Drosophila melanogaster: one gene and its partners. The protein of the gene in region 2 interacts with the protein of the main gene of each other region in a biochemical or structural test. Each region holds a gene or a part of one and is shown on either strand. Other genes may lie near its edges. The genes, in order: trx, His3:CG31613, HP1c and Su(var)3-9.

The links.
Region 1: of the proteins of His3:CG31613 (region 2) and trx, one has a biochemical effect on the other in vitro, tested with the Drosophila melanogaster proteins (4 studies listed by BioGRID).
Region 3: the proteins of His3:CG31613 (region 2) and HP1c form a complex in vitro, tested with the Drosophila melanogaster proteins (2 studies listed by BioGRID, with this or other methods).
Region 4: of the proteins of His3:CG31613 (region 2) and Su(var)3-9, one has a biochemical effect on the other in vitro, tested with the Drosophila melanogaster proteins (3 studies listed by BioGRID).

What each region holds. Positions count from the first base shown.
Region 1 is NT_033777.3:14,282,145-14,290,895, reverse strand, and holds the start of trx (trithorax), read left to right. Parts: upstream 1-3,992; 5' UTR 3,993-4,687; intron 4,688-8,751. Other genes in the region: red malpighian tubules, read right to left, coding at 76-123. UniProt on the Drosophila melanogaster protein: Histone methyltransferase that methylates 'Lys-4' of histone H3 (H3K4me). H3K4me represents a specific tag for epigenetic transcriptional activation.
Region 2 is NT_033779.5:21,421,358-21,428,174, forward strand, and holds His3:CG31613 (histone H3), read left to right. Parts: upstream 1-3,835; 5' UTR 3,836-3,892; coding exon 3,893-4,303; 3' UTR 4,304-4,364; downstream 4,365-6,817. Other genes in the region: His1:CG31617 (histone H1), read left to right, coding at 657-1,427; His2B:CG17949 (histone H2B), read right to left, coding at 1,834-2,205; His2A:CG31618 (histone H2A), read left to right, coding at 2,432-2,806; His4:CG31611 (histone H4), read right to left, coding at 3,281-3,592; His1:CG33804 (histone H1), read left to right, coding at 5,718-6,488.
Region 3 is NT_033777.3:22,741,169-22,748,354, forward strand, and holds HP1c (heterochromatin protein 1c), read left to right. Parts: upstream 1-4,451; 5' UTR 4,452-4,548; coding exon 4,549-5,262; 3' UTR 5,263-5,331; downstream 5,332-7,186. Other genes in the region: CG6985 (uncharacterized protein), read left to right, coding at 149-928, 987-1,586, 1,646-1,699, 1,758-1,829; vret (vreteno), read right to left, coding at 1,981-2,138, 2,193-2,386, 2,443-2,627, 2,690-3,506, 3,572-3,982, 4,046-4,356; CG17141 (uncharacterized protein), read right to left, coding at 5,332-6,104, 6,160-6,358; CG31139 (uncharacterized protein), read right to left, coding at 6,575-7,186.
Region 4 is NT_033777.3:15,257,930-15,267,576, forward strand, and holds Su(var)3-9 (suppressor of variegation 3-9), read right to left. Parts: upstream 5,530-9,647; 5' UTR 5,419-5,529; coding exon 5,353-5,418; intron 5,009-5,352; exon of another isoform or gene 4,910-5,008; coding exon of another isoform or gene 4,868-4,909; intron 4,793-4,867; coding exon 4,618-4,792; intron 3,969-4,617; coding exon 2,302-3,968; 3' UTR 1,935-2,301; downstream 1-1,934. Other genes in the region: eIF2gamma (eukaryotic translation initiation factor 2 subunit gamma), read right to left, coding at 438-513, 581-1,454, 1,521-1,757, 4,618-4,792, 5,353-5,418; Set, read left to right, coding at 5,758-6,015, 6,424-6,613, 6,676-7,026, 7,090-7,100; ATPsynO (ATP synthase, oligomycin sensitivity conferring protein), read left to right, coding at 7,732-7,761, 7,998-8,441, 8,504-8,659; CG14864 (uncharacterized protein), read right to left, coding at 8,800-9,647. UniProt on the Drosophila melanogaster protein: Histone methyltransferase that specifically trimethylates 'Lys-9' of histone H3 using monomethylated H3 'Lys-9' as substrate.

The DNA of each region.
Region 1 (8,751 bases), on a different chromosome or scaffold from region 2:
TGACACCTACATACAGGTAGGTAGCCTTGAGTGCTTACCTTTCTAACTAATAGTATAATTAACTAGATTTCTCACCTGCGAATGCAGTTTCCAATCCTTGTAGGCCTTCACAATGTAATCCATTTCCGTGGGCTTGTCTGTTTTTCTGCTTTTCACACTGGATCGCCTGCATCGAAGAACATAAAATATACTAAGTACGGTCACTGCACTCACTGATAGCAATTAACTTTGGTTCATTTTCGTTTTTGTCTGTCCCGTTATCAGCTGAATTCACTCCGCAATTATGAAACAATTAAACGCTGTGGGTATTTTTTTTTTTGTCGAGATTTCTTGGTACATGTTTCTTGGTTTTTTTTTTCGGTGGCTGCCATCAAACGAGGTTGTGCAACTTCCGAGTAATTATTTAACAGACTTTACTTTAGTTTGGGGCTTTACTTTTCTAGTCAAGGCTGGCAACAACAAATCTCTTGTGCTCACTCCTCTTTCGTTTCTTCTGTCTTTTCTTCTATCTGTTTGTCTGTGTGTGCCTCTGCACTTGTGCAAATCTCCAGACCTCGTGGGCGTCACTTTGTGGGTGTGTGCGTGAGTGGGAGTGTGCCGGTGACGTGTGTGAGCGAGTGGGTACAGTCGAGCCACAGTAAGTCGAACTTGTTACTACATGTTTATATATTGTCACATTATATAATAATCAATAATGCGGTAGAAAAGGAAGTTAAATTTCAGCAAAATTATAGAAAAAGTTGGTGCAAACAAATATGCTATTAAAAGTCTTTTTTCAAGTTCCGTTAAGAATAAACACTACCCTTTTAATTGGCCCTAATTCATAATATTCGTTTCAAATTTTATTAAAATATATCTTAAAATGACTTGTACCGACTTCTTATGAACATAATAAAGCTCAAAAAAGTGACATAGAGTGAAGGTCTTTGGGAATTCCGAGTTATGGAGTTTGAACTGTATGTGAATTTGTTTTCCGGCTGCGACAAATTGAAATTTGTATGTACCGCCATTCGTGATATTTTGCCAGTTGACTTTTTGTGTTACTTTTTATCTAGAGGAAAAAAATATCCATTAACTTGTAGGATTTTTCTTGTTATAATTCCAACTGCCGTCGTTCGTGTTGATGCTGTTACTTAAGTTATTAATTTGATTGTTGCTGCTTCTGTGGGACAACAACGAGCAGCTTTTGTTTATGGTTTCTCTAGTTTTCCATCGCCTTGTTTTTTTGTTTTGAAACAATACAAATGAGTGAGAGGAGCAGCGCAGATCACCGAGTGTGTAAATACACACAATCGAGGCTTTACGTTTGTCCCATGGCAACGACAGTAACCGTTCTCTAACTTAAGTAATTGTTGTGCATATATTTCACTTAATAGCAACTCTTCTTTTTATAATATTTTTGTTTATTTGTGTGTATTTCTATATATTCATCTTTTCGGCACTCACAAACACAGATACAAAAGCGGCAACGACGACGACGGCGACGACAACGCGATATATTTTATACGTTTTTTTCCAGCTTTTTCGCCGCTAAACGAAGGCACTAACTAAGTGAACTTAGCCAAAACAACTAAGAGCGCAGCAGGCGAGCGACCAACTCCAAGCAGCACTCAAAAACAAGTGACTGCTGAAATGACTGGCGAACAAGCGACGAGCGACGATTCTCCGCCGCCGGCGAGGTAGACTCTCTTCCAGAAGACTCTCTTTGGGCGTTCAGCTGGGCTCTCGGCTTTCGGTTTCTTCGGCTGGAATTGAAGAATGGCATTATCGCGCACTGGAAGTGCACACAAATACTCATTCGATTCGTGGATGTTGGTTTACTGCCTCCACTGCTTCCACTGCTCACTTCTCCAACCTGGAATTACTTTTCCAAGTACTCACCATAGGGGCCATACGAATTCGTTAGATGATTGTGCCTAATTCGAGTGATAATGGTGATAGCAAACACGTTGGACTAGCCAGCAGGGAAAGAGAATATTACAGGCACAGTGGTTGCATGGTGTGATGAACCATCCGAGTTTTACTTTACTTAATTTACTTTCCCACTTCAGATCACTCATACGCAGTGGTGTCCCTTACAAAAACCATGTTTTAACTGGATGTTGATTTTATTAGATTAAATTGATTAAATTAAGTTTATTAGATTTCATGACAATAGCTTGCATTTAATAATCTAAACTAAAATATTATATAGATGGCACACACTGTACGCAAATAATCGTATGTATGTAAGTATGTACCCGCAAACTTGTGATAATCATTTAAGCAGCTCTCTCTGTTTTTCTGGCACTCATCTTGATTATTAAATGATAACTGGATGACGGCGACAGGTGCACAAGTACAATGATTATCAAGCTCCTCGCGTTTTCTATTAGGTTTTATTGTTTTTTTTTTCCCGAGTTCGTCATAGGATTAATTAGCATGCATGATAAGCCCACGATCTGTGGAGGAATCCCTTTTTCAGCGATGAGCTGGAAATTTTCCAACCAACGCGGACGTCATCGTTTGCATTGCAGATTGCGGTAAAAGTTGAAGAACTATTTTTGGAAATCCGGTGATAGTGGCTATACGCCCGCTGCTTCTGCTGCTGCTGTCAAAACAAGACTTTCATTATGATTAGGCCAACGAATTCGTGTTGTTTGCGGCCCAGATAAGCGCCGAATGACTGTCACAGTACAAGGTAATCCATGTTAGATATACATATATTGTTATCGATACCCCTTATCACTGCGCACCTAAACGGACCGACTAACCATGAGGTGCGGAATGCGTCAGCTGCCAAAAACAAAGCTCGATCTGCCCGTGTTGCCAATAGCTGATAGTCCAAGTTACAAGGAGTTGATCAATTTGTTTATGTTTTCGTGTTTAATAGAAGGAATGCCAGGGAAATTGATTTAGTACCTATTATTAGCATTCATTTGAATTATTTCATTTACTAGCAATAATGGTTGTTATGATTATAGTTTCATTATTATTACTTTTTTTATTTTATTATATTATTTTGATAATATTTAGTTATTTATTATTTTTATTTACATAAGTAATTACTAAATTCAGGCCACAACTATTAACACGTCCTTCTTGGTGAACTTTCTATACTAATAAGGTTAATTGCAATGCCTTTTTGTGAGATAACATCTTCTGAATGTGGGTTACCATTTTTTGTCACTGAACAAGAAATTTACAGGCGCTCAGTGATTCAATTTCCTGCGAATTTTTTGTTCACTTCGGTGAAACGTCGTCGAAATGACGTCGATTTAAGCCACCGAATTACCGCCCTACGCTTCTCGCCCGGCAACAGTTGGATTTACATTGTGAATCAAATATGTGCTAATTGAGCGGACACGTTCGATTCGTTGACCAAAATCTATTTGTTTACATCGCGCCTTGCGAATGCATAAAGCCTTTGGGTGTCTTCCCAAAAAATTGGTTAATAACTTTGGCAAAGAACCAAATGCGAAGTGGACGCAGCTGACAAGTTGTTTATGTGTGTCCGCACATTATGGCTTCATTATGAAATCGCAACTAATCCGAACTTCATATACTGGCATAATGGAATTGCCAATGAGGTGATTGATATTTGCCACTTAGAATGTGGACTAGGAAAATCTCCTGTTTTTTAAATTGTTTACCGAAGCGGTTTCTTTTCTTTCCTTCTTTCCCAATAAGATACCGAAGGGTACTTAAAAATTATATTGAACGGAAAGTGTGATAATATTGGATATTCAAAAATTCAAGGTTAATGTGTTTTGTACACTCCATTCTAAACATTTTAATTACCACAAATTAAACAAATTAGCAGTTACACCGAAAGTGGTTTTAAATTTTGAAAAATACTGTTTTGTAGCAATACGCTTTTGTCTTTGAACTAGCAGAGACACATTCCGTATTTAACCAAGACACACACCCCGCAGAGCAGAGACACCCTACTAAAATATCGGTGTGACCAGGTCTGCACACACATGAATTTATTTGTAAGTCTCACAGTATTTTTTATAGTTATCGGCGCGGTCACACTGTCCGGTCGTTTTGCTTTGCTATTTCCATTTCGCTCGTCGAAAAAACGCAGAAAATGTGGAAAATAATTGATAAACTGTGCTAAATAGTGTGTGTGAATATGGTATGCAGTGTCTGCCAATGAAATTACATCGAATTTGTGGCGTTCAATTGTTAAAAAAGTGTGAAAATCGAGAGCAGAAAACCTGATTTCTGTGAAGAAGAAGCAGGCATTTTTCATCGTCGTAAAACCCATACATACAGACACCCGCACACACACACACGCGCATACGTAGCAACATATGTATATACGAAACGCGCGGGCGCGAGAGAGAGAACGAAATAGCAAGAGAGCGGGCCATTTCGGTTCGTGTGTGCGTGTACCTGTGCGTTTGTTTTGTGAGCGCAGAGCGACAGAGTGAGAGAGCGGCGAATGTGAGAGCCAAAGCAAAAACCAAGAAATAAGTGAACGAAAATAAAAACGAAAATCGCAATCTCCACCCCTGTATTTTGTGTTTACTAGTGTTTTGAGTGCGTGTGTTTCTGTCCCGTTTTGTTGTGAAATTGTCCCAAGTGTGGATTATTTTCGTTTTCGTATTATATTCGTGCACCAAGGATGCCAAATGGTAACAACAACCCCTGAAACGGTATCGAATCTCAATCTGCATCTGGATACACGCTCGACAGCAAGGTAATTATAAGATCGCCGCGATAAAAGGCGTCGCCGGCTGCCGATGAGTCAGTCTGCCGTGAATATATATCAATGGATATTTGCGCACATATATAAGCATGCCAGATATTGATTTGGAATGCACCCGGAGATACTGTACACCATTGCACACCACATCACATTATCATATCCCATCCCGTCGATTTCATATTCATAAAGTCCCCACTAACCTTTGTAGACCTCTAGTCAGTAGTTTAGATTGTTGTTTTTAGCTAGAAAGAATAGGAAAGTGTCGTTCAATTATTCACTCGATAATGCAAATTAGGCTGCACAACAAATACTGTTAGTTTATGGCCCACGCTGCGATTTATGTCTACAGTGGGACCTCGTTGAGTGCGACTAGCAGCAGATGGTAGCATTTTTGATTTAGTTTTGTTCTATTTTGTAGTACTAGTAAGCAAGTCTTGTTTCTGGAAAACCTGTTGATTTAATAACAACTTTCTTAACAACGAATTCATTAGTTAATATTTTTATTTTAATCTAATACTAACAGTTTAAAGAGGAGGCGAAATATTTTTTGCTTAAAATAAGTACATCTATTATCATATAATCATATGACTCCTGAAGTTAATCCATCAAATATTTCATTCTTATAAGAAACAATATTATTCGTTTTCTGTTAGCCAGGGGGATTTTACTGCAAGTTTCCATCTACGACGTTTTCCATTATTTACCACCCGTAAAACGAACGGTAAATGACAGTCGCTAACACACCCACACACACAGCGGCGAGCTATAATAAAGCATCGCCGATAAATAAAACTTAATGTGTGACCAGTTAATTGCTTTTGTTGTCGCCTCATTCTAAATCAAATCACTCTCTCGCTCTCACCGTCTCTTTCTCTCTCTCTCTCTCTCTCTATTGGGCTCACATGGCCAAAGTGTTTGTATAACTAAAATTGCTGTTTGTTTTGTTGCTGGCGCTGTTGAAACTTTTAATAAATTATACAATAAAATGAAAAACGATCTCAGCAGCAGCAGGAGCTAAATCGATTGCCGCTGCCGTTCGCTGCCTAGAAGCTGTTGAATAATTACAAAATAAATATATGTACTTGTACATTGGCTGTTTGAGTATTTGTTGACGCCATTTTTTTATTTGCCATCAAAAAGGCAAATTCCAAATCGGCTAGTGTCGATGCCTGTGTGTTTGTGTGTGGGAAACTACGCGCCAAACAACATTGAGGCGCAAAATCGCCAAATGAGTAATTGCGCATATTAAAATTCGCCTTTCAAAAGTCGACCAACTGAGCCGTAAGCTAATGCGAGATCTTGAATGGGAATGAATATGCGATGCGGGCCAACCGATGCTCATCCGAATGCATTTTCACGCTCCACTGCGTCCGCATCTCGTCGATCACGCCTCACAGAATCATTGCACATTTGAATTCGGATGGGTCTACTCACAAATACAAATTTTAAGATCATTTGATGGGACATTTTCAACGGGTTTAAATTAAAATATCCTTGTTTACATAATTCCTATTGTAAAATCGAAAAAAGTCATTTGTTTATTTGTTCTTCTTCTCCAAGATAATCTATTTTCTAAAACATGAGCACTACAATGCTTCGCTTAGCGAGCGATCACTGTAGGTGTGATTTCTATTTGCTTCGGTGGCCGAATTATTAGTTTGCATTGTTGCTACCAGCTAGCTGTATTTACACCTTTATTTACAGTGCGTTTTGAGAGGCTGCAGCTGCCAGCTGAGTTGAATTTATTTTACCTTGTGTTTCGTTACCTTTTACCACCACCACCAACACACAGCATAAACACCACGAAACCAGATGCCCACACACGCAAACAAACATTCGCGTACAAGTATTTAGTTCATGTTTCGTGGCAAATTGGACATCAAAATTGCGAGCTGCCAAGTCGGCTCTCAATATTCAATGCCCAATGCTCATGGCCCACAGAGATACAGATATCCATCCGACCATCTCTATCCATCCATCCCAACACCAATCCATGCGGCACCCACACCACGACACCTTTCGCACATTTATTGGCGCGCACATTTTTCATGTTTCACCTTTGGCTGCGTGTTTTGATTTACAAGCAAATACGGTGTATGTGTGTGTGCACAAGCATACAAACATACACTCCCCCGCGTGTGCTCTCTGCCGCTCTTTTTGTTTTTGGGGAATGGGGCTCACGCTCATTTGTTGATTCCACCTCTACAGCTGCTTTCTCTGGGCTCTCTCATTGTTGTACTGAGAAAAATTTTGCGGTTAATGTTGCCAATTATTGATCAAATAATTATGTATTAATTCAAAGAATATTTAATAAGTGGAGTAGGAAAAGTTATGGAGTGACTGTGGGGCTTAAAATTCATTTAATTTACCTCCCATTTACGATCATTTTTTTCAGTGATCATTTATAAACGACATTTTGGAATAATTTCATACAAATTTACATATTTTATGTGCGAGGTTGACTTCGATTTTTTCCAACTTGTCAATCGAGTTTGTGCAGCAGTGTGTGTGTGGCATGCAGATAGTTGTCTATTTGGTAGCTGTTTGTGTTGTATGTAAGTTGTTGTGATTGTCGTGCTCGTGTTTATGGCTTTAATCGTTTGCCAGTCGATTCGTTACCTGACTCTCTCTCCCTCTCTTTGACCGGGCCCCCTCCCACCAGTCTCCTTCTCCCTCCCACTCATTTGCCATCTCTGTCTGCTCTCGTGTGCTTGACTTTAATCTTCTCAATTACTCGCAATTTGCAAGTCTTGTGCTCGCCCCTCTTTGGCGGTTATTGGCATGCAGTGCGACAGAGACGGGGCTATGTGTACTGGGGTTTACTGGTACACAACAAAAAACGTATAATTAGATGTCAATTTTAATCAATTAAGCAATTTACGAGCAAGTTTTCATATCACTTCGCAGCTCAGACGAACATACTTATCATTGTGAAATAAAGTGGCATTATTTCGACATGCTGTCATCCGATTGATTTGATATGGGATTTGTTTTTAAACTAGATCTATTTATAGGTCAATAATGTTGGGAAAAGGTTTATAATCTGCTGCCAATCTCAGCAATCAATCATATTGCAACTCAAAAAGCATTCTTATACTTTGATATACTCTTCAAATCGATGTACATTATTCAATTAAAATATTTTATCTAATTTCGTTAAGTGCTCGTATTCAGTTTCATTTTGGTGGCCCATTCTTCTTATTCAAGTTATTTTACCTTTTGCGCTTGCTTTGATTTCTTAATCTTTTTACCATAATTGATGGCAATTAAATTAAAGGTGTGTGCGTTTGCTCTCTCTCTCTCTCTCTCTCTCATTTTGCTCCATACCCTCTTCTCCCCCGTCAAATTTGGTTTAGTATTTTCGTTTATCTTCGTGTTCGTTCGGCTGTCGATTTCGAGGAGACGGTGATGATGATGATGACGATGCATTCGAATTTCGAATTGGCCAGGCCAGTTTTACTTTGCCTCGTTGTTCGTTGTTTGCCGGGAGATTGTTCGTTTTGTTGGCCGATTGTCTCTTGGCCTCTTTGTATTAAACACCCCCATCCTCCTCCTCCATCCACAGCCTCTGCCACAACCCCCCCCCCCTCGACAGCCTTCCCCCTTCCCACCTTCACAAATTCCGCGCGACTCTGGTTTAATGGCTGTACTCGAATTACAGTGAAGCCGACGACACTTGAACACCATTAATTGGGTGTCGATATCGAAATACAGTCAAATGTCTCAGATTAAACAATCGAATAAAGTGCAATTCAATACTGAAGTATTTGGGGGGAAAATTTTTAAGTGTATTTGATATTTTACTTTCATAATTTGTGTTCAAATTTTAAAAAATTGTTTTGTATTTATCAGGTGATTTTAGAATCTCTAAGTAATAACTTAGATAATCAAGTGTATTTGCATTTTCGTTTAGTACCACTAATTTGATCTGGACATGGCCAAAAGCTTGAAGGTCTTCCATCCAATTCGGGCAATTAGCGCAGTAAATTTGTGGGATAAACGTAAACACTTACGTCAAATTAGATGGAAACTTTTATTTTGCGAGCTTATAAGCC
Region 2 (6,817 bases):
AGAACAAATTATTTTAAAATATGCATGAAAACACATTAATAACAAGCAAACACATTAATAATTTAAGAAAATATTATTTATTATATTAATATTATGTTATTTAAGAAAGTATCTGTATTTTTAACGATCGAAAATTATTTCTGAATGCTGCTTTAAAGCAAATTTTTCTGTAGTTCAATGTGAACTTAAATCAAGTAATAAAGTATCTTAATTAATAATAGACGCTTCTTTCAGAAGCCCTTCTAGGGGATGAACGTTTCAATTTTAATAAACATTACGAATTAGTGAAATATTTGCAATGATTCTTATTTTATTAGATGTTTTTTTATAAATTGGTCCAGTTAAAAATTTGAATATAAAAATTCAATCAACATTTGAAAGTCTCAAAACCCATATTACATCCTTTTAAAAATGGAAAGTGACGAAAAAATTATTTAAAAGTGTAGAACTATTAAAACCTTATTTTTATTAATGATTTAAAATACTAAAAAATTAAAAAAAGTTTACACTTCAAGCAAACTTCGACATAGTAAATGACTGATGTCAGTAGCATTGTTAAAGTGCTCTCCTCCTCGATTCTCATCAGAGCAAAGGAGGTTGGTAGGCAGCGCGCGAGCCATTTTTAACAGAAAAAAAGTGTTCTCAGTGAAAAAAAGATGTCTGATTCTGCAGTTGCAACGTCCGCTTCCCCAGTGGCTGCCCCACCAGCGACAGTTGAGAAGAAAGTGGTCCAAAAAAAGGCATCTGGATCTGCTGGCACAAAGGCAAAGAAAGCCTCTGCGACGCCGTCACATCCGCCAACTCAGCAAATGGTGGACGCTTCCATTAAAAATTTAAAGGAACGTGGCGGTTCATCACTTCTGGCAATCAAAAAATATATCACTGCCACTTATAAATGCGACGCCCAAAAGTTAGCGCCATTCATCAAGAAGTACTTAAAATCGGCCGTGGTCAATGGAAAGCTTATCCAAACTAAGGGAAAGGGTGCATCTGGATCTTTCAAACTGTCGGCCTCTGCCAAGAAGGAAAAGGATCCGAAGGCAAAGTCGAAGGTTTTGTCTGCTGAGAAAAAAGTTCAAAGCAAGAAGGTAGCCTCTAAGAAGATTGGTGTCTCCTCTAAAAAAACTGCCGTTGGGGCTGCTGACAAAAAGCCCAAAGCTAAGAAGGCTGTGGCTACCAAAAAGACTGCCGAAAATAAGAAAACTGAGAAGGCAAAAGCCAAGGATGCCAAGAAAACTGGAATCATAAAGTCGAAGCCCGCCGCAACAAAGGCGAAAGTGACTGCAGCGAAGCCAAAGGCTGTAGTAGCGAAAGCGTCAAAGGCAAAGCCAGCGGTGTCTGCAAAACCCAAAAAGACGGTGAAGAAAGCATCGGTTTCTGCTACCGCCAAGAAGCCGAAAGCGAAGACTACGGCTGCCAAAAAGTAAATTGTGAAAAAGTGCAGTATTTGGTACATGTTCGCAATTAAAATTTTAGATTTATGATTTATAGATCTGAAATTTGTTTAAACAAGTCCTTTTCAGGGCTACAACGTTCCGTTGCAAGAGAAAAAAACTTTTATTTTCTTCCACTTATTTATTAGCTGACGTTCGCAGCAACAATAAAACGTTTCATGTCATGAATTACATTGCATGTTGGTCGCATTCAGTTTTCGTTCCCGATTTTTTTGTATTTATTTGAACATTACCCAATTACCCATATTGCGGGTAAATAAGTTTTATTTGTAAATTCATATTCGATGATTGGTAGTTGAAAAATGCATTTCTTTGGTATAACACATTGTGGCCTTGAAAAGGGCCGTTTTGGATTATTGTCCGCATTCGCAGGAGAAAATTATTTAGAGCTGGTGTACTTGGTGACAGCCTTGGTTCCCTCACTGACAGCATGCTTGGCCAACTCTCCAGGCAAAAGCAGGCGAACAGCCGTTTGGATCTCCCGACTGGTGATGGTCGAGCGCTTGTTGTAGTGAGCTAGACGAGACGCTTCGGCAGCAATTCGCTCGAAAATATCATTTACAAAGCTGTTCATTATGCTCATCGCCTTCGACGAAATTCCGGTGTCAGGATGGACCTGCTTGAGAACCTTGTAAATGTAGATGGCATAGCTCTCCTTCCTTTTGCGCTTCTTTTTCTTGTCGGTCTTGGTGATGTTCTTCTGAGCCTTGCCAGCCTTCTTGGCTGCCTTTCCACTAGTTTTCGGAGGCATTGTTCACGTTACTTATATTTTCACAAACACAATTCACTTATCGTAATGTGGGCCCGAACGCGTTCACGTTTATACTTTTTTTCGAGCAGTCAATTCAGGTCTAAGTCACCCACCCCTAACTGAATGCGCAGGCAAACGGAAAAGTATAAATATTTCGCTGTCTGGGTTAGGCGAGCATTCGTGTTCCGTGCGTAAAGTGAACTAAGTGAAATAAACGCAAAGCAAAATGTCTGGACGTGGAAAAGGTGGCAAAGTGAAGGGAAAGGCAAAGTCCCGCTCAAACCGTGCCGGTCTTCAATTCCCTGTGGGCCGTATTCACCGTTTGCTCCGGAAGGGAAACTACGCAGAGCGTGTTGGTGCAGGCGCTCCAGTTTACCTAGCTGCCGTAATGGAATATCTGGCCGCTGAGGTTCTCGAGTTGGCTGGCAATGCTGCTCGTGACAACAAGAAGACTAGAATTATTCCGCGTCATCTGCAACTGGCCATCCGCAACGACGAGGAGTTAAACAAGCTGCTCTCCGGCGTCACAATTGCACAAGGTGGCGTGTTGCCTAATATACAGGCTGTTCTGTTGCCCAAGAAGACCGAGAAGAAGGCCTAAACGTTTCAAAGGCTAAGCTAAAAACCTACATGTACATAAAATCGTCAATCAAACCGTCCTTTTCAGGACGACCAAATTATTACCAAAGAATTGAAAAATTTTTTAGCTTGGCAATTTGTTGTAATTAGTAAATCATAAAGAATTATTAACGTAAAGATGGTAATGTAGTAAGGGTTTTCTACTATATGCGGTATAAACTATAATTTGCTTCTTTAAACAATCGCACACCACGATGTGATGCTGTACATGCGGTGTCTGAAACCATTTGTACAGTCTGTACAAATCCATGTTAGAAATACACATTCTATTTAAAAGAGTACGAACGACAGACATTTATTTTTAGTTTAACATATTTTTTGGGAGTCCCGACCAATAAAATTAAATACTTTTTGAAAATCTTCCTCCTTTTAAAAACTGAATGGTGGTCCTGAAAAGGACCGATTGCTTAATAGGGGTACACAGGATGTACACTTTTTAACCGCCAAATCCGTAGAGGGTGCGGCCTTGCCTCTTCAGAGCGTACACAACATCCATGGCTGTAACTGTCTTCCTCTTGGCGTGTTCCGTGTAGGTCACGGCATCACGAATTACGTTCTCCAAGAAAACCTTCAGAACGCCACGCGTTTCCTCGTATATGAGTCCAGATATGCGCTTCACACCGCCTCGACGGGCCAAACGGCGGATAGCAGGCTTCGTGATACCTTGGATGTTATCACGCAGCACTTTGCGATGACGCTTGGCGCCACCCTTTCCCAAGCCTTTGCCTCCTTTACCACGACCAGTCATTTTTCACTGTTCTATACTATTATACACGCACAGCACGAAAGTCACTAAAGAACTAATTTCAACGTTTCTGTGTGCCCCTATTTATAGGTAAAACGACAAAAACCCGAGAGAGTACGAACGATATGTTCGTTCGCTTTTCGCTCGTCAAATGAAATGGCCTCCGTTTTTCTCTCTCTCTCTCTCTCTCTCTCTTTCACCGTCCACGATTGCTATATAAGTAGGTAGCAAATGCTCTGATCGTTTATTGTGTTTTCAAACGTGAAGTAGTGAACGTGAACTTTAGTGAAACCCAAATCGGAGATGGCTCGTACCAAGCAAACTGCTCGCAAATCGACTGGTGGAAAGGCGCCACGCAAACAACTGGCTACTAAGGCCGCTCGCAAGAGTGCTCCAGCCACCGGAGGTGTGAAGAAGCCCCACCGCTATCGCCCTGGAACCGTGGCCTTGCGTGAAATTCGTCGCTACCAAAAGAGCACCGAGCTTCTAATCCGCAAGCTGCCTTTCCAGCGTCTGGTGCGTGAAATCGCTCAGGACTTTAAGACGGACTTGCGATTCCAGAGCTCGGCGGTTATGGCTCTGCAGGAAGCTAGCGAAGCCTACCTGGTTGGTCTCTTCGAAGATACCAACTTGTGTGCCATTCATGCCAAGCGTGTCACCATAATGCCCAAAGACATCCAGTTAGCGCGACGCATTCGCGGCGAGCGTGCTTAAGCTGACACGGCATTAACTTGCAGATAAAGCGCTAGCGTACTCTATAATCGGTCCTTTTCAGGACCACAAACCAGATTCAATGAGATAAAATTTTCTGTTGCCGACTATTTATAACTTAAAAAAAATAAGAACAAAATTCATATTCTATTATTTATGGCGCAAACGGTACTGGGTCTTAAATCATATGTAAAAATACTAATTCTGCCAGAGAAGGAATAAAAATAATCTTATTTTAATTGTCAGCTCAACATTTATTAAATTAAAGAAGAGGTTAATAAATATAAAATATATATAAAAATATATATTTTTATTTGTTCTTTGTGCGAACATCCTTTAAAGCAGTGAAAGTGTCGTGCGGGGCAAGGGACTCTGAACCTTAAACATCTAAAAAAAAATCTGAATTCTGTGTAAGACAGTTTGAAATTAATGAAATTACATTGATGACGGCAATATTTATAAAATAACAGAAAATAATAAAATAAAACTAGCTATTTTATATTTTTTCCATGTGTTAACTGAAGAAAGTGTTATTATTGAAGAGGTCGTACGGGACAATTGACACTGTCCCTTCAAACGCCTGTAAAAAATAAAACCTATGTAAAATTCAGCACGGAAATTGGCTAATTTTGTTGCGGAATGTAATATATATTACATAATAAAGGATAATACAAAAATTGTTTCTTTTTATTTTTTATTTGATTTATTTATTTGACTACATAGACGGTAATGCATATGTGGCGAGGAAATCGATTGATTTCAGAACAAATTATTTTAAAATATGCATGAAAACACATTAATAACAAGCAAACACATTAATAATTTAAGAAAATATTATTTATTATATTAATATTATGTTATTTAAGAAAGTATCTGTATTTTTAACGATCGAAAATTATTTCTGAATGCTGCTTTAAAGCAAATTTTTCTGTAGTTCAATGTGAACTTAAATCAAGTAATAAAGTATCTTAATTAATAATAGACGCTTCTTTCAGAAGCCCTTCTAGGGGATGAACGTTTCAATTTTAATAAACATAACGAATTAGTGAAATATTTGCAATGATTCTTATTTTATTAGATGTTTTTTTATAAATTGGTCCAGTTAAAAATTTGAATATAAAAATTCAATCAACATTTGAAAGTCTCAAAACCCATATTACATCCTTTTAAAAATGGAAAGTGACGAAAAAATTATTTAAAAGTGTAGAACTATTAAAACCTTATTTTTATTAATGATTTAAAATACTAAAAAATTAATAAAAGTTTACACTTCAAGCAAACTTTGACATAGTAAATGACTGATGTCAGTAGCATTGTTAAAGTGCTCTCCTCCTCGATTCTCATCAGAGCAAAGGAGGTTGGTAGGCAGCGCGCGAGCCATTTTTAACAGAAAAAAAGTGTTCTCAGTGAAAAAAAGATGTCTGATTCTGCAGTTGCAACGTCCGCTTCCCCAGTGGCTGCCCCACCAGCGACAGTTGAGAAGAAAGTGGTCCAAAAAAAGGCATCTGGATCTGCTGGCACAAAGGCAAAGAAAGCCTCTGCGACGCCGTCACATCCGCCAACTCAGCAAATGGTGGACGCTTCCATTAAAAATTTAAAGGAACGTGGCGGTTCATCACTTCTGGCAATCAAAAAATATATCACTGCCACTTATAAATGCGACGCCCAAAAGTTAGCGCCATTCATCAAGAAGTACTTAAAATCGGCCGTGGTCAATGGAAAGCTTATTCAAACTAAGGGAAAGGGTGCATCTGGATCTTTCAAACTGTCGGCCTCTGCCAAGAAGGAAAAGGATCCGAAGGCAAAGTCGAAGGTTTTGTCTGCTGAGAAAAAAGTTCAAAGCAAGAAGGTAGCCTCTAAGAAGATTGGTGTCTCCTCCAAAAAAACTGCCGTTGGGGCTGCTGACAAAAAGCCCAAAGCTAAGAAGGCTGTGGCTACCAAAAAGACTGCCGAAAATAAGAAAACTGAGAAGGCAAAAGCCAAGGATGCCAAGAAAACTGGAATCATAAAGTCGAAGCCCGCCGCAACAAAGGCGAAAGTGACTGCAGCGAAGCCAAAGGCTGTAGTAGCGAAAGCGTCAAAGGCAAAGCCAGCGGTGTCTGCAAAACCCAAAAAGACGGTGAAGAAAGCATCGGTTTCTGCTACCGCCAAGAAGCCGAAAGCGAAGACTACGGCTGCCAAAAAGTAAATTGTGAAAAAGTGCAGTATTTGGTACATGTTCGCAATTGAAATTTTAGATTTATGATTTATAGATCTGAAATTTGTTTAAACAAGTCCTTTTCAGGGCTACAACGTTCCGTTGCAAGAGAAAAAAACTTTTATTTTCTTCCACTTATTTATTAGCTGACGTTCGCAGCAACAATAAAACGTTTCATGTCATGAATTACATTGAATGTTGGTCGCATTCAGTTTTCGTTCCCGATTTTTTTGTATTTATTTGAACATTACCCAATTACCCATATTGCGGGTAAATAAGTTTTATTTGTAAATTCATATTCGATGATTGGTGGTTGAAAA
Region 3 (7,186 bases), on a different chromosome or scaffold from region 2:
TTACAAGTGGCTTGAAAATAGATTGCGCCTTGTATATTTATATTTTGTTGATAGCAAAAGTTTTTAAATTAACTTATGTATTTACGGTGAACTATACCCGGTAATCCTCTTCTTTAGCACCATAAAGCGGCGTTCCAAAGCTCCTTCCATGCGCCGCGCTGCAAAGCGAGAGAGCGAAGCGGCGCCTCCCAAAGAGGAACCACAGTCACCCTGCTCCTGGCCCAAAAACAATCTACCCAGCGAATGGGGCACCTCAGGGGGCACCCAAAGCCTGGGACCTCGAGAATTCAGGGCGGGCGAGAATCCCCTCAAAGATAGCCGCATCTTCCATGTGCTCTGGCGTAATCAGACCACCAAAAAGCACAAAACGTGGACTGGCAACGGAACGCTGGTGGTCACGGGATCCATAGTAACATTGAAGGATGACACCGGCAAGGTTGTGGACACCATGACATACTTTAAGCAGCGGCAACTTCAGGAGAACGATCAGCTGGAAGTAGGCAGCAAGGATGTCGAGATTCAGGAGGAGATTAAAACCGTCGAGGAGTGCCTTATTCAGCGCCAGTTGGAAATAGCCAACTGGTGCCAAAAAATAGATGCCCAGAATGGTTGTACAGACACATCGCCACCACCTGCTGACAGTGCACCCGTTAGGTCTCATCTGCTCAAGAAGATCAAGCGCGAGGCAGATGCCTTTGCTCCACCGCATTTGGAAATTAGCCAACATAGAGAAGATAAACATGTCTCCTATGCAGCCGCCGATTCCAGCACTTCGATGGGAAAGAAAATCTATGAACAAAACACTTTGAAGATAGAAAACCCTACCAAGGAGTTCACCCAATCGGAATATCTGTGTCTATTAACTCCAGCTGAACTGCAGAAAAAAATATTACTCTTTGTTTCTGAATATGCACAAACATCTAAAACAGTAAGATAGATTTAGACCAATTTACATGCATAAACAAATCAAAAAACTTGTATTTCAGGAATCGTCTACGTTGAAGGAAATCTTCCAAATTGTATGTGATCATCCTGTGCTCCTAAAAACTTTGGGTACGAATCCAGTGTTTAAGGAAATAATGGAGGTACTGGACGCCATACTGCCGCCTTGGCCAAGCATGGGACTTTACGACTCCGCCAAGTTCGAGTTTCTACACGTAATGCTGGATCACTTAGTGGCGGAGCGAGGCGAGAAGTGCTGCATCTTGGCAAACAGTGAGGATTGCCTCACCCTGGTCAGGGGATACTGTCAGAGTTATAGTTTGGACCATGCGCAGCTAGATGGTCCCCAAAAAGTGAACTTATTTAATTCTCTTGCCGATGGAGAACCAATGATTGGCTTGATTTTGACCAGTGACTTGTCGGCGCTTCGAGCTCTTCGCTGCAAACACCTAATTATTTATAATCACAATTCCAGGCAGCAAGCCAACCAACTGCTGGCCGTTGGAGCAATGGATACCAAAATATATACTCTCATCACAGCCGGAGGTTCTCCGGAGGAGTTGCAGTTCTATGGGCATATGGGTGATGATTCTATAGAAGATCTTCAGAATTGCCGCAGCCAGCTTATACCGACCGCATCTAATGTGAGTACTTCGAATTCTTATCATATTAATAAATCACCTATTGCATTGATAACCTATAGAATCTAGCGGACTGGACCAAAAGTGAGCCACCTTTTGACCGTGTTTTCTTTGAGGTGAGATTTGTATTACATTTTACTAACTTAAATTGCGTAAATCAATGTGACCTTACAGGAAACTGCTATATCGGATAGTCTGGATTGTATTCAACTGGTTTATTCAAGAAAAGTGAGAGTAAAAACTTAAACAAACAAAACGTTAACTTCAAGAATATAAATGTAAACAAAATTATTTTGTTGAACTAAATGCTTAGCAGTTGAGTTAACCTGGAAGATTTGTGCTTTTTTTTGGCCATAATTAGTTCTGAACTATTTCGCGGAATCAACCTTTTGAGAACTTAGTCCAAACTTAAGAACTCCTGCAGTTTTTCAATGCGAGTGGAGTAGCTATTTGTTTCCTCGTCGAAAGTGATTTCGCTGCAGGTGATAACGGACCCAATGGGATAATTTTTATCCAGCCATTTGATCTGCTCATCGGTGGGCTTCTCAGGCACTCCTACGAAAATCGAGTCATATAAATAATATAATTATCTTTGGAGAGCCTAATTACCAATTAAATCCAACTGTGTGGTCATTATAGGGAAGATAAACTGCGGCGGATAGGGACGTATGTCGGTGACATGTGTTGGCACTATGTTTCCGTAGTCAATGAACAAAATGCTGGGATAACCATCTCCTACTAACTCCACAGAGAGACCTCGACGCCATTTGCCTTCGTACTTAGCTATGCAAAGCTCATTTATCCTAAATGAAAGAGCGCTTTAGTTAAATGGACAAAAGAAAACGGCGAGTAACTTTACGGCGGTGCGTAGGTTGCGCACTTGGCAATCTTTTCACCATACTCCTGTATGTCTCGCTGCATTTTGGTGACTTCGTAAGCCAGATCTATGGAGGTGCAGTAGATAAAGCCGCACTGGATGAATGTGTTGTCCATTACCACTACATTTATGTTCTTTCCGCAGTGCAAGGGAATGTATGGAAGACACTGAAACCGAATAAATGCAAATGACAACTGTGTACTTGATGTTTTTTTAAGTTCTGGCTTACGTCCTCTTTGTATCCCAAGTCCGAGACAGACGGCTCAACAGGAGTTAGGATGGTCTTGAAAAGGCGGTTGAGGCTCCTATTAATATCGATCTCGGTCATCACCACGACCTGCATGCCCTTGCTGGTATCGTACTCACGTGACGAGTACTTGATATTAAAAACTAGGGACTGGTCGAGTTCGTACATGACTTCCCTTATGTTGGGACCCACAAAGCGCCTGGGAACTCCGCGTAATTTAACGGCTACGGGATAGCAGGTCAAACCAGCTAAATACGAACTGCATTCATACAGTCTTTCCAGCTGCGTGACTTCAACACTTCCGAAATCAATGAACACTACATAGATTTCCTTGATATTATCCACGTTTAGCACCATGGCGCGCGACATATGTCCCTCGAACTTGTAGAGCACAATTTGTCCGCAGACTGGCGTACTCTGCAGTTTGGAGGCATCTTTGCCCAGCATCATTACCTCCGTGAGAACTGTATAATAGGCGATGTCAATCTGAATGTCCGCCGAGCGCACATAGACCACGTTAGTCTGCTCGAATGCAGTAATTCTCACTTTAGATCCAGACGGCGGCAAGCCGGGTTTGGGGTACTTCCGGCCCACCTTTTCGTCAAGGTTAAGTATCTCACCCTTGCCGCAAGCTTGCTTATGCTGCTCTGCCACATCGGCGAAACAGGAGGCATTGCAGAAGGGCATTTTGCACAGCTTGCAGAAAGTGTCTGTCCAGTTTTGACAAACCACGCACTTGCTGACGCCGTCTTCCAGCAGGCTTTTAGTTTTATCCTCTTCGGTGACAGCAACCGTTGACCTGAGTGATGCAGAAACTATACTCGTTAGCTAATCAAGGGCACGTGACCAGGTGGCTATACTAACAAAGGAATCGTTCTGCCCGAACGAAAGTGCAGAACGACCTGCGGGATTCTGGTCTCATCCTTAAGCTTGTAGATATCATGGCGCTCCAGTGCGAATTCGTACTTTACATTGAGATAGCGTTGAATGGGGTCGTTGGTGGCCAACAATGAACCTCTTTTGTAATCATCTTTGGTGACCAGCGGTGGCCGGAAGAACTCCGGATGATTTTGTCCTCCGGTCGAGATCGGAACCTCTCTGTTGTGATTCACTGGCGTACGTTCAGTGGCCGAAATTGCTGGGCCTGGTGTTGGCATTGGCTCAGTGGAAGTCACCGGATCGCTGGTGATTTCCCGCTCCTTTTGCGGGCGACCAGTGATGCACTTGATCAGGTTCGGGTAACGCTGCACCCGCTGTTGCGCTGTCTCCAGGGATCTGGAAAAAGGATTATACGCTCGAAATATTGAATGACCTGCGAAAGTGCTTGAAGAAACTCACGCGATATTTTCAAAGTAGACAAAGTATACGCGTGACAAGCGGCGGAACTCCATCTCCTTGATGAGCGCCCGACCGAAGAAGTTGATTAGCATCTTTTCGGTCACATAGGGACTGCTTTTTGGAACCACCAAGTATGGATACTTCGCCTGCCTGGTGGCACGTTGCTCCTTTTCGTCCTTTGGCGGCAGCGGGGCTTCCATGATTAGTTTCTGGCCAGACTCGTTAGTGTAACGGTTGCCCACTTGGTCATAGTATTCCCTGGACATTGGATCGAATGCGGACCAATCATCCTGCGAGGATTCGGATTCCATTGCACCTGAGCTTTAAAATTTCACCTGAATTCGAATTGCAAGCGCGTGCGAGTGTGACCGTTTTCTATGCTGTCAGAAGTATGTTGCTATTGTAACTGTTGTTGAAGTCAGCAAACGGTCACACTGGCACTAGTGAAAAAAACCAAGCCGATTTTAAATATTGTAAACAATCTTGTAAAAACACAATAAAAAATGGTTAAAAACGAGCCCAACTTCGTGGTGGAGCGCATCATGGACAAGCGCATTACCAGCGAAGGCAAGGTTGAGTACTACATCAAGTGGCGTGGCTACACGTCGGCGGACAACACCTGGGAGCCCGAGGAGAACTGCGATTGCCCGAATCTCATCCAGAAATTCGAGGAGTCGCGCGCCAAGTCCAAGAAGCGCGGCGAGAAGAAACCCAAGTGCGAAGAGATCCAGAAGCTGCGCGGCTACGAGCGCGGCTTGGAGCTGGCCGAGATCGTGGGCGCAACGGATGTGACGGGCGACATCAAGTATCTGGTGCGCTGGCAGTTCTGCGACGAGTTCGACTTGGTGCCATCGGCACAGATCGTGGAGAAGGATCCGCAAATGCTGATTGACTATTTCCAGAAGATGGCACCTTACTCCCGTCACATTGCGATGCGAATGAAGGGCGTGCCGGAGGAGCTGCGTTTGGCGGCCTCGCGCACCAGTTATCCGCACATTAGCAGTGCGCCCGTCGAAGTGCCGCCGGAGGTGGATCAGTCCGCTGAGTTGGCTGGACATCTTGGTGGAATCGCGCCACAGGTGGACCAGGCGCCGCAGCACCATGCACCCATGGATCTAGCCAATGATACCGACGATTTGGCTAGTGTTTCGTACTCGATTCCCGTGCCCGGCGTTGGCGACATTGCCATCGATGTGCCCATGGCGGAAAATCAATAAGGACGCGAGCAGAATCGACTGTTCAGTCTTTAATCTAAGCCCCTAAGTTTAATTCATACATATGTATAGCTATCTGAAACCACTGGGTTCGTCCAGATTCATGTGACCCAACTGGCCGGAGCGAAAGAAGTGAATGAACTTTCGCGCGGCCGCCAATAAATTTGTCATCACCTCCACGCGTCCGTCGTACTGCTTGACCTTGTGGAATAGCTCCTCCCGATGAGCGTACTCCGCCAGCACGGCGCTGATGTCGTCACTGGGTCCGGAGCTGAGCTTTAGCATCTCCACGTAGTCGTATTTGCGGTGGCTATTCAGCCAGTACAGCAGATAGTCGGCTATCAGATCCTCGCCCACAATATGATCGGGAAGGCAGCCCACCAGGGCCAGTTTCATGCCCATTTCATCATCCTTAATGGAGGGCTGGAGGATGCCGGGTGTGTCGATCATGTAAACAGGCGGATTCTCTTGGATTTTGATGCGTTCGCCGACGGATCGAGTTATACCCGCCTCGGCACCCACGCGTGCGGCGCTCTTCTTCTTGAGATGCACATTTCGCAGCACATTGATCACGGAACTCTTGCCCACATTGGGCACGCCGATGATCATCAGATTGTGCTCGGCAGCTTGGGTGCGATTGAAGCGACTGCTCTCGCTCACGAGGCGCGTTGCCAGGGGCAGGATGTCCAGCACGCCGTTGTTGCGCTGATCCTTGCAGTTGGTGAACAGGATGTGCTGCAGTTCGGGCTGCTGTCTCCTCAGCTGCTGGAGCACGCTCTTCTGCTGTTTGGCGCCCAGCAGATCGACTTTGTTCAGCACCAGAATATGCGGTTTAACACCACTTCCTGGGGAATATGAGTCCCGTATTAAGTGGCAGCTTATGGTTGTAAACGTACTCACCGGTGATTGTGTCAAAGAACTGGGAGTTTCTGCCCGCCAATGGGATGCGTGCATCGTGAATCTCGACTATGCAGTCTACATTTCGTAGTTTTTGCTGAATTTGCCGCATACCCTTGGTCATGTGGCCGGGAAACCAGTTGATGCGCTGCTTGGACGGCAGCCGGAAGGCATTGCGGAATGGATTCAGCTGCGCTGCCATGATGCGGAATCCATGTAATGCTAGCGAATCCAAATCAAAACTTTCAAACAGCTGTTGGCCAGTGACGTAACAATTGACCCAGGATTGTGTGTGGTCACACTAGTGGGGGGAGTTGGCTGTTGGGTGTGGCAGCACTGGCTGATTTAAATTTGAATTTAAAATTAATTATACAGATTTTTATTTTTTGGTACAAAACTAAGATTGTAAATACTAAGTTTATTTTCCGCGGTACAGCTGCACCGCTTTCTTGTTGGATACCTCCAGAAGTCCCGGCTCCCGTTGCACTTTATAAGTGAGCAACTTTGCGTATTCCTGGAGCATCTTACTCCAATAGCACTGCACATCCTCCATTCGGAGGTGGAGCCAAATGAACTGCTGTCCCCGTTCCGCAATCTCCTCCGCCAGATCGTCGTGCTCGCGCAGATATAGAATCAACTCCGCCAGCTCATCCACATCGGCGTCGCTGGCCACGGGAACGTAATGCACCCAGGGTTTCAGTTGGCTGTAGAAGAACTCCTGCCACTGGTCGCCAACATGAAGTACCAGCGAGCGGCAGAGCAGTATGTGCCGCAGCCGGAAACTGGCGGCCACACCGCGAAAATTGAACAGATACTTAAATTGGCAGTGCTCGACCAAAGGCATCTTCTCGACGGGATCGGCATCCGTCGCTAGTATCGTGTACTGGGCATCAACCAGGTCTGGACGCCTTTGCGAGAGCCTGACTAGACTATCGCGTTCTGGCGAGGATCGTGAGCCCCTAAAGAAACCAATAGCGCGCTTGGCACTCCACGGCAACTCCGACGCCCTGGCCACCAAATGTTTTCGCAT
Region 4 (9,647 bases), on a different chromosome or scaffold from region 2:
TCAGTTCTTGCGGTTTTAATTGTAAAAAATGCAATACAATTTGTTTTTTTTTTTCGTTTAGTTTTTGTTTTGTATTTAAATCATAAAAACAATTTTACGATGTATCAGATTTGCCTTTAGTTATTATAATATATAAAGGTATACCCTATTAGTTGCTTTTTTAATGCCTGATTCTGCTATAGATGCACAATACTCGCAAGCGAATCGTGTGTTTTCATATTATATACATACTCGACAACAAAATTCAATAAAATAAATTAAGTTAGGTATGTATTTCATGTTGGTACTAATTAGTTTCGGTTTGATCAACGGACACGGGAAGAATGGAGCTGTGGGACAAGAAGGAGCAGTGTGAAGAGGCCTAATAAAGATGATGCTGCCACTTTTGCCGCTGATGTTGTTCTTAAAAGTAGAACCATTCGGATCCTAACTAAATTCTACTTCTTTGCCACCTGGCTGTCCAGAACGGGTGTGATTGTCTTGCCTCCGAAGATCTGACCCCAGCCAATCAAACTGAGGAGAAAAAATACATCATTAAGTTGTGATTTCAAATACAATTTAAGGGGGGCTGTATACTCACCGCCAATGGTTCTCCACACGTCTGCTGAGTGCAATCTTCTCGCCCTTCTCCGTGCACACAGGCGTCGTAAGAACGATCTTGGCCAAATCACCTTTGGTGGCCGAGATGCGGCCACCAGTGCTGAGGGATCCGATATTAACCAACAGGATTTCGTTCTTCTGCAGCTTCTCAACGCGCGCTCCCTTCTTGTCACCATCGGTACGGACGCCGAGAAGGCGACGCAGCAGGTAATACGAGATTTCCAGCTCCTGGTAGATGTCCGGCAGCTGGCCAACGGCGCCTAGCACCTGACCGACCAAACGATCGGCACGGCACAGCGTAGGATCGATCTTGGTGCCCACACCAATCAGACCGCCGGGCACGGCGTACTGCAGCTCATTCTGTTCGGCGAAGAGCGAGACGATACGGGAGAAGATTGGACGGCAGGTGATGTTGCCATCGCTATCCTTGGTCACAACGCCCGGACGCACCTCGATCTCTTGGCCTACCTTCAGCACGCCGCTCAGAATGGAGCCACCGGCCACACCGCCCTTAAGGTCTGCCACCTCACAGCCTGGCTTGTTCACGTCGAAGGATCGGATGACGATCAGACGGGGCGGGGCATTGAAGTCACGCGGCGGCACTGGTATCTTGTTCACAATGTACTCGCAGAGCACATCGATGTTGTACTTAAGCTGGGCCGAGATCGGAATGATCGGAGCGCCCTCAGCTACGGTGCCCTGGACGAATTTGGTGATCTCCTCGTACTGCTCTTTCGCCTGGCTCTCCTTGATCAGATCGATCTTGTTTTGCAAGATCAGAATCTGTTTCAGCTTCATAATCTCAATGGCGGCCAAATGCTCAGAGGTTTGCGGTTGTGGACAGGATTCATTGCCTGCACATGGAATAGGTAGTAATTTGTATATCTTTTGTCGGTTCAGAGAGATCCAGGGTTACTCACCAGCAATGAGCAGCAGAGCAGCGTCCATCACAGCAGCACCGTTCAACATGGTAGCCATAAGAATGTCGTGACCGGGGCAATCCACGAAGCTCACATGTCGCACCAGTCTGAAGTTGCCGGAGCAGTTGAGCCGAGTGCAGGGCAAGCTGTCGTCCTTGCTGGATGCATCCGATACGAAGCTGGCCGGGCGCGGGCACTTGGGGTTGTCACACTTGTAGATTTTGGCGTTGGCATAACCTAAAAGCAATGCGATAATAATTATGAAGAATATTACAATACATTCTTCGAACTCCTGGCCTGGCAAACACGTAAAATAATCCTTCGTTCTTCACAAGGAATTAAGTGCTATTGCTAACTAAATTCATTTCTTTGATCCTTCCAGATCATTTATACAGCCACAAACAAACATCACTTAATAATCGTAAAATATTTATTGTAAAATAATAATTTGCACTTAATGCGGTAATAATTTCAGCACATTACAAGGTTGTTTGTCAAAACACTAAGTTATTACTAAATTAAAATTTAAGTTTATGAAATGTATACAAGTACAAACTATATAGAATTACTCGTTTTATCCTCTAGTAATATAGATCCTCAAACATAATATAGATCCAATATATCGATATTAGCATTTATTAACAAATAAATAATTAAAACGTCGGAATATAAAATCCAACTAGTAATATATATATATGTTAACAAAAAAAAAAAAGGTTCAATGCAATGATGTCTCAGGTGGGTAACGGCGTGCCATTTAAATATAGTACTTCAAGTCCATTCAAAAGAGGACCTTTCTGCAATTATCAGCTCCGCAGCGGCACTCGACACGCACAGCTGTCGAGAGGTTCTCGTAGGGCACATCTTCGTTGTCCGCGCGAATGTAGTCGAAGCTCAACTCCTCGCCCGCCTTGATTGGACGCAGTGTGAAGAACACGAGGTGCGGCAGCGCGACATTCAGGTGCTCGATCCAACAGGGGAACACGGCGAGATTAGGATCGCAAGAGTGATTGATAAAGTGCGAGATGTTGCCATAGTTAGCTGCATCGATAGTGTACTCGCTATCCTGAGCTGTGTTGTAATCCAAGTCGAACAGATATGTCCTCCCATTGTCGTCATACGCCTTGCCGCGCTCATTTGCCTCATCGCTGGTGATGATCTCTCCAATGTACTCGCACACAAATTCACCCTTACGCAAGGCAGTTGCGGCTCGCACCCCCCATCCGCTGCCGTTGGCGGTCTTAAACAGCACCAACGGTACCTGGCGTCCGTGCTGCACCAGACGGTTGGAGCAGCTTGAATCGCACGAGCAGCGGCTATTGCACTCATAGATGGCACTTCCGGGACGAAGGCGCAAGCGCCGTGTGCTTCGCTCGTAGGCGAACAGCTCGCCGGCGAAGCGGGCACAACACTTCGTAGAGGCAGTACACTCCTCTGTGTCTTCAGTGCACTTACAGCCCACAATCCCCGCTTCCGGCTTGGGCACATCCTTGCCGATTATGTTATCATGTATGTACATGAAATTGCTGTCTATGGTGTCCAGATCAATGTTGTTCTCAACACGTATTGGCGGTGACGGTTTCTCCACATGATTCATGCGCTTCTCGAACAATGCTAGATCAGCCAACTGCTTGCGTCGTACAAATTGGGCCCGCTTGATTTGCATGCTTTTCAGGGCTCGTTCTCCAATTTTCTGCGGTTCCCTTTGGCTTCGACTGCCAGCAGCGCGATATTGGGCGAGCAGTATAAGATCGATCTGCAGATTGAGTGGCTCATAGGCGTCTACTTCGGCCACCGTAATGTTCTCCATTAGTGGCAATGCCTCCAGCTGCTTCTCAAGCTCAGTGGTTATCTTGGCTATGTATATCTCGTAGAGCTGCTGATGCCGCTCCACAAACTTCTCCATTTCGGCGCAGTCGGCCACGTTGGCAAGACTTTCCCAGGTGTTCTCGCTATCATGGTATCCCAGCCATTTGACGAAGAAGACTGGCTGATATTGATCCATCTCGACGCATTCAATACGCTCCACAACGTACTCTCCTTTGGGCGGCCTTTTGGCAATTACTCCCATGTTATTTTTCGACCGCTTGGAGTTGGGAGTTGGGGCGCCCACACAACTGCTGCGTCGACGCTTCAGTTTGGCGAATCCGTTGAGACTGGGTATTTTGTCCACATCATGTTCCTCGCAGCCAAAAACGCTGCCATAGCCGCTACTATTGCTTGGACTCAGTGAGGTCTGACTGGTGCTTCGCCGGGTGGTGCGTCTATCTACACTGGAGGTGGATGCTGGCATGGAAGACGAAGCTGGCTTGGTGCAGAGGCGGCGGAATCGGCTATGTCGCCGCAATTCGGCCAGGTGGCGCAGCATTGAACGCTGTTTGATTTCATACTGCTGTCGCTGCTGCTTGGAGGTCAAAAGATTTTTGATTTTTTTTTCGCTCAAGCGTTCTGCAAATGACAAGTTTTGGACAATTGTGGATTGGATGATGGGTTTGGTGTGTTTTTTTTTTTATTTGGCGGACGCGTCGCAACCGAAAAAATCGTAAAAACAAGAGAAATAGGGAAAAAGAAGAAAAAGATTGGCAATTAATTAAATTGCTGGATCAGTCGTATCAATCAATGTAACAGATTCAAGACTAAGCTAACAGGAAGATATGCTTAATACCAATCTTTGGGAACGCTTTTTAATTCAGCTTTGTAAAGTACAACATTCTAAAGACAACTTCTTTTATCATTTTAGACTACTTAGGCGACGACACAAGGCAACGCGTGCTAATCCAGCAATTTAAGTTAACAAAATACACAAGAATTCGAATTACAAGAGACAATCATTCGCAGAACCCTTTTACAACATTATCTCGATGTAAAGCAGCGACAGAGTTGGCTACGCGGTGTGCCGTCGCGATACGGTGTTAAAAAGTGGTTCTTAAGATAATTATGGGTTATTTTCGGCCAGCCGAGAAGGTTTACAATCTTAGGGCACTACGGGGTTTACGGGCGAGCAGGAAGAATTAACATACGGCTAAATTATTATCAAGTAGAATAATACATCTTAAGATTATATGCTTAGGCTAGCTTACACGGATCCCTGACTCACCCAGCTTGATTGTGATGTTGCGCTCCAGTTCGTTCTTGAAGCGCACAGTCTGCACGCCGGATATGGCTTTGACCACCGTGGATTTGCCGTGAGCCACATGACCGATGGTGCCGATGTTGATGGTCGCCTGTCGGGAGATGACCTCCGGTGATAGAGGCGTTAGTTTAGAGACGTCCTGCAAGATTCCAAATGCAATACGATAAATAAAGGCGCTTTAATAGAGGAAAATCAGAGCACAAGTCTTGTTTACCGCCGCCACACCCCCTAACAAAACATCCCCTCTCAGATGCATGTGTGTATATAGGAAAGCCGTCAATTTTGAGGTTAGAATGTCGCTTGAATTGCATCAACTCAAAATTGATGACAACAGTCAGGTAGTCCTCGCGAAACTGATCTGCTTGCCAGAGCCCAAATACCGCCAGAGTCCGCATCATGCCCATATGCAGAGCCAAAGTTGCGGGATAAACCAAACAGACCCTAAATGTAGCGCCACGTGCTGCATTTTCACCGTGATCTCTCACCCACAACAAATCACTGCTGGCCCTGGCGAAACCCACTGGTATATCCCTCGAAATTGGTCCGCGAACCGTTCGAGACAATCTGGGCGCGTCCTTGCGACCCGCACCCCGCTGTTTTTCCGGGAAGCGGCTCCATAATGACGACGCGTATACTTTCACACACGGGCGGAAAAAAAGGGAAGGCGGCGTCTGGCGGTCGTCTTTGCTGGCTGCTTACCAAGTTGCTGAGGTCCTGCTTCTGCAAGTTCCTGTTCACACCGATCTGGGCTTCAGCCGTGGCCATGTTGCTGATGTTTTCAAAAACGATGCGTATGCAAAATGAAAATAATAATTTTCAGCTATTACAGCTCGGCATCAAATCTCGATATCGAAGAACGATTGGACCCGACAATGCCTATCGATAGTGCTCTAATCATGGTTGGCCAGTGTTGGACACGTCACACCGGTGCCCAACTGCGATGCGTATCGATAGAGTGCCGCCCTATCGATACACTTACAGTTCTTCAGCCGCAAACGAAAGGTTAAAAATCCGCTTCGCTTCTCTTCTGCTCAACTGTACCGCCGCTTTTTGTTCAAATATCTCGGGAATTACGAGCGTACACACAACGGAAGAGCGTGCAGAATGTCGAGCGTGCCAAAGCGAGCCAAGCTGGACGGCGCCCCCGCCGATGGCAACACATCCGCCGCCGCCGGTAACAACGAGGAGGAGTCGGAGGCGTTGGAGCAAATTGATGCCTGCCAGAACGAGATCGATGCGCTGAACGAGAAGGCCAGCGAGGAGATCCTCAAGGTGGAGCAGAAGTACAACAAGCTGCGGAAGCCCTGCTACGAGAAGCGCAGCGAGCTGGTCAAGCGCATCCCCAACTTTTGGGTGACCTCGGTGAGTACTTCGATCCGCGGCCATGTTTGTCCCCTCCGCGTGTTCGTCTGATGGGTTCTAGTGGAGCCGACTAGATCTTTCGAAGCCCTGAAGTGATGGTAATCGCTGCACACATGTACAAGAAATTTTCTCTATTCGAGGCATTTTTTCTTGTTCATCTTTGGGCTGCAATGCCGACACCACCGGCTCCCCGCGCATTTTCCCCCTCCCGGAAAAATCGTGCTATCGATATATCCGTCTGGCCGGGAAATACACAACATAGCACAGTTCAAAATGGCTTCAAATCAAAAACCACTGAAATATTTGCTGCCATAATTGAAAAGAAAAGTAGTGCCATAGGGGCCATAAACATGGCTTTCTGCTTGATAGCATGCATCCCCTAGCTAATCCCAACTGCCATATTTGCAGTTTATCAACCACCCGCAAGTATCCGGCATTCTGGACGAGGAGGAGGAGGAGTGCCTGCACGCGCTCAACAAACTTGAGGTTGAGGAGTTTGAGGACATCAAATCGGGTTACCGCATCAACTTCCATTTCGACGAGAATCCTTACTTCGAAAACAAGGTGCTCACCAAAGAGTTCCACCTGAATTCAGCGGGTAAGTTCTCCCAACGATTGATTCAAATCCGCTTAGCTAACCCATTACTATTTCAATTAAAGCTGCTTCCGAGAACGGAGACTGGCCCGCGTCTACCAGCACGCCCATCAAATGGAAGGAGGGAAAGAACCTGCTAAAACTTTTGCTGACAAAGCCGTACGGAAACAAGAAGAAGCGCAACTCCGAATACAAAACCTTCTTCGATTGGTTCTCGGATAACACCGATCCCGTCAACGACGAGATCGCAGAACTGATAAAAGACGACCTTTGGCCAAATCCACTGCAGTATTATCTGGTACCTGATATCGAGGTGGAGCCCGAGGACGAGGAGGACAACGAAGATAATGATGAGGAGGCATTTGACGACGAGGACGGTGAGGATGGAGAAGGCGAGGAAGAGGAAGAGGATGAGGGTAAGCTAATGGAGTGCCTTTTGAACAGAAGGAATTTACTAACCACCTAACCAACCATTTTAGATGACAAGTAAACTGATTAATGCAATTTCAAATCGCTCGCAACCGAAGGCCCACATTGTTTATAACCACTGGCAACTATAGTTTTCCCGATGGTTATGCAACATTTACATATTCGCAACGATTTAAGGACATATTTAGGTTTCGAAATAAGCAAAAGTCATACATCCATTAAAGAGCAGCAGAAAATGAGAATCACCATTAAATTAATTTAAAACAAATAAAAAGACGTAAATCGAATCTCAAGCCGTGTCTTTTTATGTAAGTAAAGAATTACCAAAGTATTCAATTCGATGTTTATAAAATAATTTATTACTTTATTAATTAATATTTATTAATTAATTAATTATTTAATAGCAAATTAGAGGTGTTACTATTAAGGTAGATTTTGGGTACCCAGAAATACCTATCTTTTAATATATCCTTTAAGAATTACTTTAAAGTCAGAATATCATTTTTAAAATGAAAATTCGCTTTTATTTAACTAGCTAGTATAAATCTTAAAATCTAGCTATTTTTTGTAATCGATAACTGTCCTGCAACCCTTACGCCATTCAAAACAACCCTGCCACACGTCGAGTAGCAAGTAACGTAGCCCTGGTCACAGCTGAGATTTTTAGCTGAAAAATTGTCGGGATAAAAACGATGGCCTCTATTAACAAATTGGCACTTTTGGTATGTTATAATGCGAATAAATAGAAAAAAGTGAACAAGCTCCGGTCAATGCCAAGCCATTTTAAGTGCATGTCAAATTTTTATTGCGTTTGCAACCCGCTGTCGCATATGTAGAATTATCTAACGCGCGTTTCTTGGTTATGTAATTTTTGCCCATCTTAACCCACGAACCGCGGGTAGTTTATGTTTAATAAGCCGAAAAACTTACCAAGTGCTCTTGTTTGCTTATCCCGCAGAGCCGCACCCTCAGCTCCGCTGCCGCCCAGGCGACGGTGAAGCCACCAGTGCAGGTGTTCGGTCTGGAGGGTCGCTATGCTACCGCCCTGTATTCGGCTGCCTCCAAGTTGAGCCAGTTGGATCAGGTGGAGAAGGATCTGACGGCCCTGCAGGCCACCATCCGTAGCGACAAGAAGCTGCGCGAGTACGTGACCAGCCCCATCATCAACAAGAAGGTCATGGCCACCGCTCTGAAGGAGGCATCCGAGAAGCTCCGCTTCGCCCCGGCCACCGTCAATCTGTTGGGTCTGCTGGCTGACAACGGACGTCTAAAGAAGCTGGACACCGTGATCAATGCCTACAAGACCATCATGGCCGCACATCGCGGTGAGGTCGTCTGCGAGGTGGTCACCGCCAAGCCCTTGGATGCGTCCCAGAGCAAGCAGCTGGAGGGTGCCCTTAAGGTAGCTACGCCTAGCTTCTGTCTTGTCTCACCCACTCAATTTATTGCTCATTTGCTTTGCAGTCTTTCCTGAAGGGCAACGAGTCTCTGAAGATCACTTCCCGCGTGGACCCCAGCATCATTGGTGGCCTGATCGTTTCCATTGGCGACAAGTACGTCGACATGAGCATTGCCACTAAGGTCAAGCTCTACACCGATGTCATCCAGACCGCTGCCTAGACTCTTAAGGATTTGCTCTTGATTTAGATGGTCAAACTGAAAGTTTGGTATTGGAATTCAAGCGGTAATAGCGAATAAAACACTCTTCACCCTTTGAAAACCAACAAAATTTATTCAGAGATATGCGCACTAGATTTGGTTTATGATTTAGATATATTTTTAGGATCCGGTATATCTGTGCACTGCAGCTCCGCAACCTTGTGCTGGATTGTCTGCTGCAGAAGGCTGTGCTGCTCCAGCAGATTCTCCAGCTCCTTGATGCGAGATCTCTGCAGTTCCAGAACCTTGGTGAAGTTACTCGTGGCCGGGGACTCAAGCCAGTTGATTAGAAAACTATTATGTTGCTCTTTATTATCGTTGGCGTTTTGTTGAGCATCAAAATTACTCTTCGTCTTGCTATCTAGTGTACTCGCATCCTGCCCTGGGTTGGGGCTGCAATCATTCAAAGGACTCTCCTCCAGGACCAGAACATTGGTCTCGTTCGAGGATCGACAAACTCTGTAATTGGGCTTGTCGATTTCCGGGAACACAGCTCGCTCATCATTTTCGGTCAGATCGGACTCTTGAACGCAAATCTCTGGAGGCGGCGCCATGGGACGTTGCTTCGCCGGAGAGCAGCACCCATCTTCATAGTCATTATTCCGGGTGCCGTTCATAAGCAGCACGTTGATTGCATTTGAAGTTCTTCTCTCGCCGCCGCCACAAGTAAAGTTATTCGAATTATTGGTGTATCCGCCAGATAAACCTGTCGCTGAGCTTCCAGTTTGATGGCTGAACGAGCCGGTCATCTTGGTTCGCCTAACAGGCGAAGAGCTCTGAGTCTGCAGCGTCACCGTTGAGCACTGCACTTCCTGATCCTTCAATTGCTGGGTGATGCACGTCTGGCAGCATTCGCTCTTCAGCTCCGGCTTTTTCTTCGTATTCTGCTGGTTCATCGAACTTTTAATTTTGTTGTTACCTCGTGAAGTTGGCGATACCGGGTAGTTCG